3 linked regions of the Drosophila melanogaster genome follow. Changing the gene in region 3 together with the main gene of any one other region gives a genetic interaction. Each region holds a gene or a part of one and is shown on either strand. Other genes may lie near its edges.

What was found. A genetic interaction does not mean that the proteins touch.
Region 1: of osk (region 3) and par-1, changing one enhances a phenotype caused by changing the other (phenotypic enhancement), as found in Drosophila melanogaster (one study listed by BioGRID).
Region 2: of osk (region 3) and vls, changing one suppresses a phenotype caused by changing the other (phenotypic suppression), as found in Drosophila melanogaster (one study listed by BioGRID).

Annotation. Positions count from the first base shown.
Region 1 is NT_033778.4:19,465,461-19,470,465, forward strand, and holds the start of par-1 (par-1), read left to right. Parts: upstream 1-2,005; 5' UTR 2,006-2,181; exon of another isoform or gene 2,182-2,353; intron 2,354-3,329; 5' UTR 3,330-3,510; coding exon 3,511-4,878; intron 4,879-5,005.
Region 2 is NT_033779.5:20,063,761-20,067,571, reverse strand, and holds vls (valois), read left to right. Parts: upstream 1-1,892; 5' UTR 1,893-1,973; coding exon 1,974-2,513; intron 2,514-2,570; coding exon 2,571-2,947; intron 2,948-2,999; coding exon 3,000-3,186; 3' UTR 3,187-3,311; downstream 3,312-3,811. Other genes in the region: bwa (brain washing), read right to left, coding at 674-811; lok (loki), read right to left, coding at 3,597-3,811. UniProt on the Drosophila melanogaster protein: Involved in specific localization of cytoplasmic proteins during the formation of pole plasm. Required for synthesis and/or stability of oskar protein (osk) and localization of tudor (tud) in both the nuage and posterior pole of the oocyte.
Region 3 is NT_033777.3:8,933,250-8,938,921, forward strand, and holds osk (oskar), read left to right. Parts: upstream 1-1,876; 5' UTR 1,877-1,896; coding exon 1,897-2,431; intron 2,432-2,466; exon of another isoform or gene 2,467-2,550; intron 2,551-2,679; coding exon 2,680-3,097; intron 3,098-3,192; coding exon 3,193-3,957; intron 3,958-4,015; coding exon 4,016-4,118; 3' UTR 4,119-5,146; downstream 5,147-5,672. Other genes in the region: ScsbetaA (Succinyl-coenzyme A synthetase beta subunit, ADP-forming), read left to right, coding at 5,571-5,639. UniProt on the Drosophila melanogaster protein: Organizes the germ plasm and directs localization of the posterior determinant nanos. Oskar protein is required to keep nanos (nos) RNA and staufen protein at the posterior pole.

The sequences.
Region 1 (5,005 bases), on a different chromosome or scaffold from region 3:
CTATCGAACGCCCTGCGGCAGAAGAATCTAGCGGCCACAAATGCAGCCTCAGCTGCGGCGGCGAACTCATCCTACGCAAGCGGTGGTGGTGGTGGCACCGTAAGCAGTCGGAACAATAAGATTGTGGTGACAATGATCGAAAACGGCGGCTTGCCCATTGTGGCCACCAGTAAGGCGGAAAGGCCCAAGGCCAAGGAGTCGGCATCATCCAGTGACAAGGCTCGCAACTCGAGGGTATGTAATATTGGATATAAATTTATCGATATTATCGATGGTTGCTTACATTTTATCGAAATCCATCGACGGTAACGGTAACCCGTTAGATACTATTGCATAATTAATATAATAGAAGATATAGGAGGATTTATATTGGGAGCTTGCGATATTGGCAATTATGTGATTTAGAAACTTTCCTAGGCTCTTGAGCAAAACTACACTTGACCTTGCTACTTCATTTCAAAAGAGTGGGGCAATAAGGTTATATTTGTTGTGATTAAAGTTTGTCGGTCTCTCACACTTCCCCATTCATTTATGAACATTGCAAATTTATCGTTGTTGTGCTGCCACCTTCATTCAATCTAATCGTAATCGCTGTTTCGTTTTTGTCTGTATCTGTCACGGTTTTTGGTTTTTTTTCCACAATCGAATGAATAACGATTTCTATTATTTTGATTACGGATTTTGTTTAATTTCAGATTTTTGTTACCCCACATTGAATTCCTATAATCCATATGGAAACTAATATATATTTTCAGTCTAATCGCACAAGTGCTACATAAAAACCCAACGCAAATACGTTTAAAGATTAGGGGATTATAGGGATTACGGGCTCTCTGTTTCTATAACTATACGATTGCATTGTCCGGAGGACAAGTTCATAATAGTTGACCTCATTAGATTTTCCTGTTAGCTAGCATGCGAAAAATGAAATTCTATCTTTAATGTTTTTGTTTGGGACCTGAAAGGCTTGACTGAAATCTCGCTGTCTTGTCTTAATGTAGATTAAGCTGCAAGTTATTCAATTAGCTTAATTAATACGGACACTTTATACAGGCTCAGCTACTTGATACCTCGTATGAATAAATTAAAACCAAACTTGGCGAGTTACAAATTGACAGAATGATCGAATTTCATATGAGACACTTTTTGATATCTTAAAATGAGAGTTTCTCTATTTTCCAGATTATTTATTTTTAAGTATACCTAATGTGTTTCGTTTATGTCGTATCACTCGTGTCTCTATATATTTTATTCACAAATTTTATTGTGTCGGCTGACAAATGACTTACAATTATTTGACGACAAGATGTTCATAATAATGTTCTTTCGGGATTGCATTTTTAGTACCAAACTGTGTGTATTCCTCGGTCTTTGTATTCTGGTGATTGATATAGAGTAAAACAGGGGAACGGGGGAAGTTGATTAGTGAAATCTTCGCGACGACCGTAGAATTCCGACTCAGACTTCAGACATCATGTCCTTTTGGTTTTATTACTTAGAACTCTTACGTAATGCATCACCTAATCAACTGATTAACTTTAAAGGAAGCAGTTGAACTTATTGGGTAATTGATTGATTTTAATAGAAAACCAAAGTCCAACCGAATGTTACTTTAATCGCAGTAAATCAGGGAAGAAGCGCTTTGCGTAACTTGGTGGAACTTATATATTGCGCACATGCGCAGAACACTAAACCCTGCAGCAAACACGGCTAACAGTTTCTTTCCCAGCGTTACGCTCAGTGGTACTCGCACACTCATACACTCTCAAAACTTTCGAGCTCCAAACGGGGCTTCTCTTTGTGGGAGAACAAGTACACAGATGCAGATACGGATAGAGATACTGTATTAATGGTAGTAGTGCTCCACCAGTGGAGAGAGCTGCCCACTGATCGTGTGCTTGTGCTGGTGTGTTGGTGTATTAAGGCCGACGCCGCTGCCGCAGTCGACGTCGCTGCTCGAAGCGATTCCGTGCTTTTGGAATACTCCGCGCTCTCGCTCTCCGGCACTCCAGTTCCAGTTGCTGAGTGGCCAAGTGGCTCTTTGGCTGCTGAGCCCTGTTTAGCTTTGTTTTTCGGTGTCTTCTGTGTTTTGCTGTTTTTTGTTGGTGTAAATCGTATAGTTGTAGTCGTAGCCTGTCGACGACGTTTACGTCAGAGTTGCAGAGGAGGAGCTATAATTTAGTACGAATACCCAAACCCCCACGTAAAATGAGTGCGAAAAATTGCGAAAGCCGCGTGCCTCTGCGATAAGATAACCGTGTGTGGTTAAAGAACTCCTCCGGCCAACGAAACGAACCTTTTAATAATCGGGATTTGCGCGAAATGTGATTTTTTATAGTCCACAGACCAAGTGAAAAAAAAAGAAAGAAAATACTCACACACTATCAAACGACCAATGTATATAGCCTAACTGTGTTTTTCAGCAGTGAAAAAGTCGGCTCAATTGTCTAAAAGTAGTTCATTTGCTTCAATGTGTTGGTGCGACCGTGCATGTGTGTGTCTGTGTGTGTGCATTGGAGCTTTTCGCTTTGCTCACTGAAGCAGCGACGAATAAAAATGGAATATAACCAGCCAGCAACTAAACGACTCGTACGGACGAATTGTTCAGATACTTGTAGATCTCCACATCGTAACTATTTAGACAGTAATTAAAAGCAACAAAGGAAAATAGCGAAAAGGCAAATGAATCATAAAACTGAAAAGAGAGCGTGGGAGAGGAGGGTGGGGGTGGGGACAGGAAAAGCGTGACACACACACGAGAGAGAGCGAGGGCATCTCAGCTGAGCTTGTGCAACAGCAGTAGAAATAGGAGAGAGCAATTTAGAGAGAGACCGAAAACAAACACACGCACAAGAGCTCACCTCCACCACAGGTGTGTAGGTGCCACTTCGCTTTTCTCTCTCGCGCACTCTCTTTTGCTATGTATGTAATTGTGTGTTTAGGTATATTGCCCTCCCTTTCACATCCCCACATCGCCTGCCGTGTGTTTATTTCAGTGTCACCGGGGAGACAGATTAGCTCTTGTCCGCCTGTTGTCGTAAATATCACGCACACACGCTTCCCGTCCGCCCATCTGTACATACATATGTACATACGTAGAAATGGAAGTTGCTAGCTGTGTGTTTAATTCATTTTCGAGGTTTTAATGCGCAACAACTGCGACTTGTTGTGTGTTGGTTAGACGACAAAAAACAAACAAAAGTAACGTTGAGAATTTAGAAAGCCCAATGCAAACGAACGCACACACAAGCACTTACTCCTGTCGGTGTGAGCTGCATTGTACTTCCGAAGCCCCAAGACCAATTTAATAATTTTCCCCAAACTCACAGTGTAAGAACAATAAACACGCCAAGCGCAACTTGAAAAAGAAATAAGAAAAAAGAAAAAGTTGCGATCTCTCCGAGCAACAAGTACTTGTGCACCAACACACTCAAGGGAAGAGTGCCACGACAAAAAAATTTAAGAGAAAAAAAACAGAAAAACCGAAATCAGCAGCAAAACGGAGGAGCTATGGAGGCCACCACTACCACAACACCTGACTTGAATCGCGGCGATGCCACCAGGAAGAGTGTCCGGCTGTATGCCGCCCGCAAGGGGGCGGCACCTGCGCCGCCCAAGCTCAGTGTGGCGCCATCTAGTAACCAGAACAGCAACCACAGCAGCAACAACAACAATAGCAGCAGTAACTTGCCGGAAACGGAAAAGGAAATGGAACTGCGTCAAACACATCTTGCCAACAAGGATCTCGATGGAGCCACCGAAGACGACAGCATAGTGGAGCTTCGACGACGTGATGCCCAAGCCACTCCATTGCCCAGGATAGCCGTATCGGCTCTACCCACCCTACAGCCGCATCCCACGCCCAAAGAACGCCAAAAGCCGCCAATGCCACGCCTTCTGTCCACCGAAGACGATGCCGGTGTGTCCTTTGCCCTCGGCTCCATCGAGAAGCACATCCATAACGTGGAGGAGAGCTTTAAGCAACAGCAGCAAAACCAACAATCCCAATCATCGATGGACGTGATGAAACTGGAGATCAAGCGCAAGCAGAGCAAGCGCTACGGTGAAACGGAAAACCTTCTGCGACCGGGCATTAGTGACATGTCCTCCGAGAATGATTTTCAGTATTTGGGCGGCAGGCGGGCAGGAGAACTGGATGACAGCAATGAGCTGATGTTATCGGAATTCCAGCGCGGCAGCGATGGTCGTAACTCGATCGGAGCCTATTCCAAGAACTCGGCTGCTGCCGCAAACGGAGCAAATGCTGTGAAGGCTAAACTGGCACGTACTGCCTCCGATACGAAGAATAATGATACGGTGCTGGCCATGAGGGCCACTTTTAAGCAGAAGCAGCACTTGCAGGACGAGAAACAGCCAGCGGTATGGCGACCAGCTGGCACTGGACCCACTCCGGCGGCCAGGAGCTCCTCCTCCACCACGTCCACCTCCGGCTCGGCCAGTCGTGGCGGTAGCAGCAGCAGCGTGGTGGATGGAGTGGCTCCATCTAAGCTTACGGCCACTACCATTTCAGCGTCTAAGCGGCGTGAGGAGAATTTGCGACAATTTGAAGCTTTGTTGGCCCAAAAATCCTCACATCGTCATGGAGCATCTGGTGCCTCGGGAACAGGAAGTAATGCAGCCAGTTCGAAAAGACGTTCGGACCGGCCGATTGTGGCTCCTATTCCTCCGTACAATTCCAGTCGAGCAGAGCATGTGACCAGCTCGACCAGACACAGCGTTGATCCAAGATCCCATTCGGGACACGAGTCGAGGTCAGGAACAGCCTCAACTCACCCGCCTGTAGGACATCATCCCACTAGCCGCGTACCCAGCGTGGTGGCAAACCGCAGCAATGTGTACAGCAACAATGCTGCGCAGGTAAACGGGATAAAAACCAAAATCCATTTTTATCTACCATATTTCAATATAATTTTCATCATTTGGTTCAGAGAAAGCAATACCACTGTGGTTTAAAATCGCATTTAATATAACTATTAATCGTTAG
Region 2 (3,811 bases), on a different chromosome or scaffold from region 3:
TTACGATTGTAAGAACGTTTATATTAATGCGGATGCCATTCATTACCACCAGCACAGCTATTTGTTTAGGCTGTTTTACTATAATGACAAATGCAAACGGCTGACTAACTAAATGAAATCGCGAGCGTATAATCTACATATTTCAAATCTAATAACATCGGACAGCCGGGTTCAAAGTAGTTATATAAATCATATTATATATGAAAGAGATGATAACAACCAAATGAGAGAAGCTAGCCCTTGCAGGACTTAGTTTGAAGTCCGTGTAGCGGCCAAGTCTGAAGAGACACAAGTTTCCAGTCCGAGGACAAAGTGTTCATTATGCTTTGCCCTGTCCGCAATACCAAGTTTTATATCGATCGGACAGGTGTGAAGCTCAGGGCGATAAGAAAACTGAATTTTCCGGGTGTCGCATTTTCCGGGTGCGAAAATGACCCCCACCCCCAGCCCATCGTCACACCAACGCAAACAAAGCGTGGCAAACAGCATCTTTTGTTTACGTTGCCAGTCGGTCTCGCTCTAAAAAGGTCAAGGCCTATTCAAAGGGAAAACTAGCAGCTGTCTGCGAAGGGGTGAGAAGAGCAACTACGACCACTGCGGGGACAACTAAGTGGGGCAGCGAAAGCAGAGCGCACAAATTACATACAACGTTAAATAAATCGCACATACGCACCGTGTTCACGAACTCGGCGATGTTGGACGAAATCAAGTAGTTGCCTTCGCACCAGTCGACGGGCGAGCTTCCGGGTCTTAGGTGCTCCCAGGCCATGGCGTAGATGTCCAGCAGCCCGCCGCCCCCCATCCCGCCCATTCTCCGCCCACTCGATGGAGGCCCGACCGCAGAGATCACAGCTGATTGGGGAGGCGGTTCCGCTCGTTCTGCCCAGGCACTTTGTGTGTGTGTGTGTTGCTCTGTCGCCCTTCCTTGCAATCTTAGACCAGCTGCAGTGGCGCAATTTGCATAATAGCCCAGTGTGCAAGCACTTGCGTGTCTTTGTTGATTGCCTTCCGTCGCGTGGCTTACTGCAGAGTCGAAGTATTCCGCAGTTATGTAAGGAAATATTTAGTTCTTGATGGCTCAGGCGATGGAATCTACGACGTTTGGGACGCTGACCACTCGCGCTAGGAACGCACTTTTCAAAAAATAAACCAGCGCGCAACGAGCGACGCGATAATAATAAACAAAAATAACAACTGTGTGACCGCTTGCAAGCGAACGGTAAATGTCCATAGTGGCGGGAAATCCCCTAAAAAATACCGTTGCTCACAACTATACCGTTAAGCAATGTGAAATGTAAACGTAATGTAGAAACTTTGCAGTTGTAAAGTGCGCCATTCTCTTTTTTTAATTACCGCCTGGCGATTTCGGAACTCCTGTATCGGAAGTCTTATTGTTATATAAATAAATATATTCTTTATGGCATTTTAAAGTGTTGTTCTTGAAAATTATCCTTCACAATTTTATCAAAAATGAGTAAGGAATTCTGAACGTGTTCTGAACCTTTAACCAATCCTTTGACCAATCTATAAATGACTAACTATCATAATTTTGGATGTCCTCCTAGTGATGATGCGCACCAAGATTGCTCAATTTGAAAATGAAAGCTGTAAATAGAAATGCTAAAAAAAACTTGCAAAACGTATTTTCAAAGTCTTTCTATTAATCGACACTTTCATCTCAACTCGTGAAGAAGTGCAATTAAAAATTATTAAAATAGGTCAGTATACATTTTTCCGAGTTCATAATACTGATATTAATCGGAATAAACGAACTCATTTTGAATAAACCAATCAAAAAAAAAAAAAAAAAAAACTCCAGAGTATCCAGCTCGCGCGATTATCTCTAATATTAATGTCTAATAATATCGATATTTCGATTGGTACACAAATCGATGTATTTGGTCTTGCCGGGCTCGTTGCTCTTCCTTGCTGGCCGATTCTCTGTTGTTTTACGGAATCTTGAGTGAGAGACGATGTTCCCGCAACGCAGCTCGGAGCTGTACCGCACTCCGGTGACCCACCAGCCTCCGCCGGCACTGGAGCTGGCCGGGAATCTGGAGTACCCGAACCTCAACATTGCGGACCTAAACGCGCGATTGGAAAACCTTTCGCCGCGACTGCACGACTGCTGGGACAGCATCGCTATCAATGATCACAACCACCTGGCCCTGGCCACAAACCGACGCGAAGGACGCCAATGGTGGGGCATGTTGTTCGGCTACGGACGCGACCAGATGCACCATATGAGCGTGGACTCGGCGAACTTCAAGCTGCAGGCGGAGCACACGGTGAACATTGTGCGCTACGCTGAGGATGATTTCCTACTGGTGGCCCTTGGGGATACCCGACTCCAGGCCTGGTCCACATACTCCAAGGTGCGAGATTCTCAGTCGCCATACTGCCTCTTCCTCGTGGGCGAGTCCAGTGCGCATCCCACACCCATCAGCCAACTGAGCGTCTTCAAGGCGGATCCCCGCACTGCCGTTTCGGGCTCAGCGGACAGTACCCTCAATGTATGTATAAAGGTGATGTGGATGTATGGAAAATATACAAATGTTACCCTTTTGCAGGTCTGGGATCTCTCGGGCGCCGATATGGTGAGCACCTACAGATCGCGCTCCTCGCATACCGACAAGTTGACTGGCCTGGCCACACCCGCAGCTTCAGTCGATAAATTTGTGACCTGTGATCGTGGCGGCTGTGCCCGCCTTTGGGATGTCCGGGCAGCGGCTCCATCTTCCACGTGCCTCTATGCGGATGCCAGCCACGTGCTGAGCTTCACCAGTGCCGCCTGGGCAGCTGCCTCGGAGCTGCAGGGTGACAATCACATCTATCTCGGGGACTATGACGGCAAAGTTCATACTCTGGACATTCGAGTGCCACGAAAACTGGCGGAAACCAGGGAATACTTCGACAAGGGCCATGTCGCCCAGTTATTAATCAATGGGTACAAGTTTAAGCGAAACAATGACGATTTGCATTAACGCACATATTTTCAGGCCCCATCTGGCTGCGATGAGCAATTTGCCCGCCTCCGTGAAAGTGGCCAATGTGCAGGCGGGCCATGAGTTCATCTACACGCACCAGGACACCCATTCTCGCCTAACTGATGCCGTTTGGACCGATGATAGCACCCTCATCACCATTGGACATGGCCGCAAAATGGTGACGCACGCTATCAAATAATTTTGCTGCCGAACAAATTCAATTGCTTTATTTCAAAAAGCGGAATGGTTTGCTGAAGAGTCATTCTTACATTTAACACTTATAGTTACTGAACAGTTACAAGTAATAAATCGTAATAATAGTCCAATGAAATGGCAGAATTCAAATCGATAGGAATCTTAAAAAAATTGTGAAGCAGCAGCCCAGTTTAAATGCAGTTTAACAGGATAAACCGGGCTTGGGCGATGAAACTTACACTAGACAACACGTAAAAATTAACAACCGCAAAAAATACTTAAATTCGCCAATACACTCGGATGCGGCGGTGTCGGCGTTTTGGGAAAAATGTTGTCGCTTAATTTTTCCAGAAAATTAAAACCTTTTCGCGCCTCGACCCTCACGTATTAACGATGGAAACACAGAAACGAAACCTAGCGTCGCGATCGCTTGGTGGGTGGCTCAAGGAAGTTCTCCTCCTCGATTTCCATGCCATCGAGCTTCATCAGCCTCTTCGCCTTCTGCAGCATGGGCGCATCGCGCAGCCAGCTGCTCTGCAAAACGTCGTCGATTGAGGGTCGCCTCTCGGGATCCACAATGAGCATTTGGTTGATCAGCAGCTTGGCGCGCTGCGAGACACTCTTCCAAG
Region 3 (5,672 bases):
TGAGATTTTCCGCCTGTCAGCAGATTAACAGGTGTCTCTCCGCCCCACCAAAGTGAGGCAATAGCTAAATTGTTCGCATAAATTGATTACAATAATTTGCCTATCCCCCAACATTTAGCCGCCCTCTGCGAAATGAATTCGCTGCTGGTAAAAATTCTAAGACAGCAGACAGAATAACAACAAGTTGCTCCGTCGGCTTCCATAATTTATGCAGAAATGCAGTCGAACCCAATGAAAAGTGTCGTTCACAAATCTAGGCGGTAAATTGCTTTTTGCGATTTCCAATGCACACCCACCACACGCAAATGCAAAAGTTGTCAATCAAAAATGGTCGTCAATCATGGTAGTAGTTGTTAGAAAGGAAGAGAGTAGGAAAATGTCTTTAAAAATATTAAACAAATTTATTTTTCAGTGGTTACTTCCTACAATTACGCTTATAGAAATACAAGGAAGGTTGCCAAATACCATAAATATATGTATAATTCCTTACCTTACAATCGAGTGACCACTGTAATTCTTAGCTGGGAGTAGAGAGAATGAGAGAGGGCCTGGAATGCAAATTACTATTATTACCGGACAATTGCCCTGTGCTGTGCGAGTGCATTCAAAATATTTGAAACACCACCCGAAAAGGGAAAATTGAATGGCAAGAAAAGCCGGCTGATTCATCCCACTCTAAATTATTGGGCTTACACATTCAGCAAATAAAAATGGGAGAAGGGTCGAGATTTATAAATTGGACCACATGTTCTCGCCCAGTTTTTCTACATACATATAGTATTGTATTGCTCGTCACGTCTCTGCAGCATCCTCTGCAATTAAGGCAAGGCTAGGGAAAATATACAGTCCAACATCTATAAGGAAGTACTTCCCTAAATTACAGATAGGTTGTAGTGGCACTAACTATTGCCCATTCTATATATATTACCCTTTGAACCCATCAACACCTTATTGAAAATTATTTTTTTATTATTCTGATCTGCTAGTTAAGTAAAATTTTTACTGATTTAATTTTTGTAATTTCTTGCTGGTACGCATTACTGATGTTTGACTGTATCCAACTTGCTTAAGCTAAGAAGCCATAATCCTCCTTCCGATTGTCTGTGCTTCTTCCGGGGTGCCGGAATCATCACGAGATGTAAGAAAGCCCCTGAGTCATCCATCAATCGCTGGACTAACCCTCAGAGCAAGTGCCTCCATTACCCTTCTCGGAGTTTCAGGTGCACTTGCTGTATGGATGGATAATCATCTCCTGGGGAATTGCTGCCAAGCAGCTCCATTTGCCGATTAGCCGACAGACCACCAGAGCACCACCGCACGTGGTAACGCTCGTCGGCACCATTTGAGTTATTCTGGAATTTATGTATATGCTACTTCGTAATTGCTTATCAAGCAGCTCTGCAGACCCACTGGCGTGCTGTTTTCTAATCTGGACCAAGAGAAAGGCCATTAAAACGAATGTCCAGCTGGAACGGAGTGCAAACTGCTTTGTGTAATGGTCGTCAAATGGCAATGCAGGTGGTAATTTCGTTTAATTGTTTTTACTGGCTACGTAGACTGCTTTGAATGTTAACCTAATGGTGGGCGAATGGGAACAAATTGATAAAAAAATTAAAGAAAATGAATATATATATATATATATAGGTTCTATATTAGGTTCTGAAAACAGTTTTTTATTTTTTCAAAATTTTTTGGTTGTACCACCCTAATGTATTTTCACAAATTCTGTTGATCTGGAAACATTATCTCTGCAAACTGCTCACCGTTACTTCTGTTGCGCCTGCTCTTTCGCCTTCCAGTACGAAAAGCACCGTAAGTCTCCAAAATGCAGATGAATGGAGAAGTGGACCGCGTTGGCGAGGGATCCAAGAATATTGGATCACTTTCCTCCAAGCGATGGCCGCAGTCACAAGTGAATTCCCCAGCAAACCGATCAGTTATACCAGCACCAATACTTCCGCCAAAACCTATTATCTTAAGTCCGTGAAAAAGCGGGTGACCACGTGTTTCCAGCAGTTGCGCGATAAACTCCAGTCATCCGGTTCCTTTCGCAAGAGTTCCTCCAGCTGCCTCAACCAGATCTTCGTAAGGTCCGATTTCTCCGCATGCGGCGAACGCTTTCGGAAGATCTTCAAATCGGCGCGAAAAACCGAATTGCCGGAGTTGTGGAAGGTGCCATTGGTGGCCCATGAACTCACCAGCCGGCAGAGCAGCCAGCAGTTGCAAGTCGTAGCCAGACTCTTCTCGTCCACTCAGATTTCCACCAAGGAAATCACCTACAACAGCAACAGCAACACCAGCGAGAACAACATGACCATCATCGAGAGCAACTATATATCCGTGCGCGAGGAATATCCCGATATAGATAGTGAGGTGCGCGCCATATTGCTGAGCCACGCCCAGAATGGAATCACGATATCGAGCATCAAGAGTGAGTAGCTTTATGTTTGAAAGCTTTCTTCTTTCCAGAAGTTTCGACTTCATCAAACACTTCAGAACTTTCTCTAAGTGGCTATATTTAGTTAGAAATCTAAAATGTATAAATTTTTAGTAGGTTATTAAATTTTATTTGGATTATATAACTTTTATAGTTTAGTATATTTATTTTAATTTATATTTTTTCTATGTTTCTTTTTTGTAAGATTACCCTTAAATAATTCTATAATTGAAATTCGCCAGGTGAATATCGAAAACTGACGGGCAATCCATTTCCACTGCACGACAACGTGACGGATTTCCTGCTGACCATTCCCAATGTGACCGCTGAGTGCAGCGAGTCCGGTAAGCGGATCTTCAACCTGAAAGCGAGCCTGAAGAACGGTCACCTCCTGGATATGGTGCTCAACCAGAAAGAGCGCACCAGCGACTACAGCAGCGGAGCTCCGTCCCTGGAGAACATACCACGAGCACCTCCACGCTACTGGAAGAATCCCTTCAAACGGAGGGCTCTGTCCCAGCTGAACACCAGCCCGAGGACCGTGCCCAAGATAACGGATGAAAAGACCAAGGATATCGCCACCAGGCCGGTTTCGCTGCATCAAATGGCCAATGAGGCAGCGGAGTCGAACTGGTGCTACCAGGATAATTGGAAGCATCTGTGAGTACTGAAAAGGTGTTTTGTAGACAGTGCAACTATAGCAAAAATAAACCTTTACTTAACAAAATGTACTAATCTTTCTACTGAACTCCTAGCAACAATTTCTACCAGCAAGCCAGCGTAAATGCGCCAAAAATGCCAGTACCCATCAACATCTACAGCCCCGATGCCCCAGAGGAACCAATCAATTTGGCTCCACCTGGGCATCAGCCAAGCTGCAGAACCCAAAGCCAGAAAACCGAACCGACTGAAAACCGCCATTTGGGCATCTTTGTGCATCCATTTAACGGCATGAACATAATGAAGAGACGCCACGAAATGACGCCCACGCCAACGATTTTAACCAGTGGAACCTACAACGATTCTCTGCTGACGATTAACTCGGATTACGATGCCTATCTGCTGGACTTTCCGCTTATGGGCGATGATTTTATGCTATATCTCGCCCGAATGGAGCTAAAATGCCGATTTAGGCGTCACGAACGCGTCCTGCAGTCAGGACTTTGTGTATCCGGACTGACGATCAATGGCGCCCGAAATCGTTTAAAAAGAGTCCAATTACCCGAGGGTACTCAGATCATCGTCAATATCGGATCGGTGGACATTATGCGCGGCAAGCCTTTGGTTCAGATCGAGCACGATTTTCGGCTACTGATCAAGGAGATGCACAATATGCGATTGGTGCCGATTCTAACAAATCTTGCACCGCTGGGCAACTATTGTCACGATAAGGTATTATGTGACAAAATCTACCGATTCAACAAGTTTATCCGAAGCGAATGCTGTCACCTAAAGGTCATCGACATACACTCCTGTCTAATCAACGAAAGGGGCGTGGTGCGATTTGATTGCTTTCAGGCGTAAGACTTTATACCATATACCATATCATATGAGTTTACGATTTGTGCCACTTTTCAGCTCACCACGCCAAGTCACCGGTTCCAAGGAACCCTATCTGTTCTGGAACAAAATCGGTCGGCAGCGCGTACTGCAAGTTATTGAAACGAGTCTGGAGTATTAAGTTGGGTTCTTAATCAAGATACATATATGCAAATTTTGACTGGGCTGGCACCGGAACCGACAAAATAAGAACTTTTTGATGATTTTACGATTTACGCTGATGGATCGCTGCTTTTACGGAATTCGCTTAGTTTTAATATGTTTTATATGTAGTATGTTCTCTGTCTTTGTTTATTTATATGTTCGTGCACTTGTCCTAGTCCATTATTGTATATTATTGTGTGTTTTGTGTTCTATGTTAGATTTAAACTTCTCAATTTTTCGCTGTCTGTGATTTGTTTTGCCAATGCCATTGATTTTCTGCACACTTTTTGCTGCTATCCCAAAAGCTGTGTAAAATAATCAAATGCAAAATAAGCGCAAGCAGCTGAAAACTTCTCTTCAAACTTTTCCGCTTTTCCCAAAACCATTTTGCTTTGAAATCTGTTTTTACCAAATCAGATTAAACTGCAAAATGGAACTTAAATGCAAATCATTGCAATGCTTATAAACTGTTTTTTGTTCTATATACTTTTGTGTGGGTCAAAATTCGGCATGCTCCTGTATCACACAACCTGCCACTTGCCCTTAAAAAGAAGGGCGCAGTGGGCGTGGTACGTATACATATGAGCCATGCTGCATTTTGGCCGTAATGAAAATGCACTGCTTTACTTGGAAAATTCGCTTGCACAAAATCAACGCCGCGGCTGATTTATTATTGATGTGCTCAAGCAAATTCAAGTGAAGCATTTGCGCGATTTTCGTCTTTCTGTTTCCGTTTGCAAAAAAGTTTATAAAATGCTTACACTCTGCTGCAGACACGCCAACCGGAAGTGCGCACTAAGCGCTTGTTTGTAGCACAGTGTAGAATTCTGGCGTAATTTACAGCTCTACTTTAAAGTCTTCTAGATAGCTATCTACTATTTATAAACTTATTTATTGTCTTGAATGTATGTTAATTGTATGTATTGATGGTGATCACGTTTTTTTTGTCCTATAACAAGCTGCAATGTAAAATCCAAAAAAAAAATGAAAAAATAAAATAAAAGGGAAATCAATGATTTTGTTTGCTCTAAGCTATGTTCAAAGTAACTGGGAACTAATCGAACTAATTTCGATTTAAAAGTGGTCTAGATTATATTGTGACATTTGTGAATATATTATTATATTTGCGAATTTATTATTATCATAAAAATAACGGTAGTTGAAAAATAATTTAGATGGCATGCAATATTAAAAGTTCCCGCCAAATTGGCTTGAATCTTTGCTAATATATTACAGTTTCCAACCTTGCATTAAGTTCACGATAGTTTTTCGGCATTTTCGATTGTAAAAGCATAAAAAAGTCCCTGCTATCGAAGCTCTACCACCTCCATCAGCAGGCGACGGCAAAAAAATCTTGAAATGTAAGCAGTAACGTCAAAATTCGCTTTCAAATCGTTAAACGTACGTTCTCATTCGATTTCAGAACAAAATGGCTTCATTCTTGGCACGAACTGGCGGCCCCCTGATCGAAACCGTTAGGCCAGCGGCCATAAAAAAGGTGAGTTCGCCAATTAGTAGTCATATTTGTGTG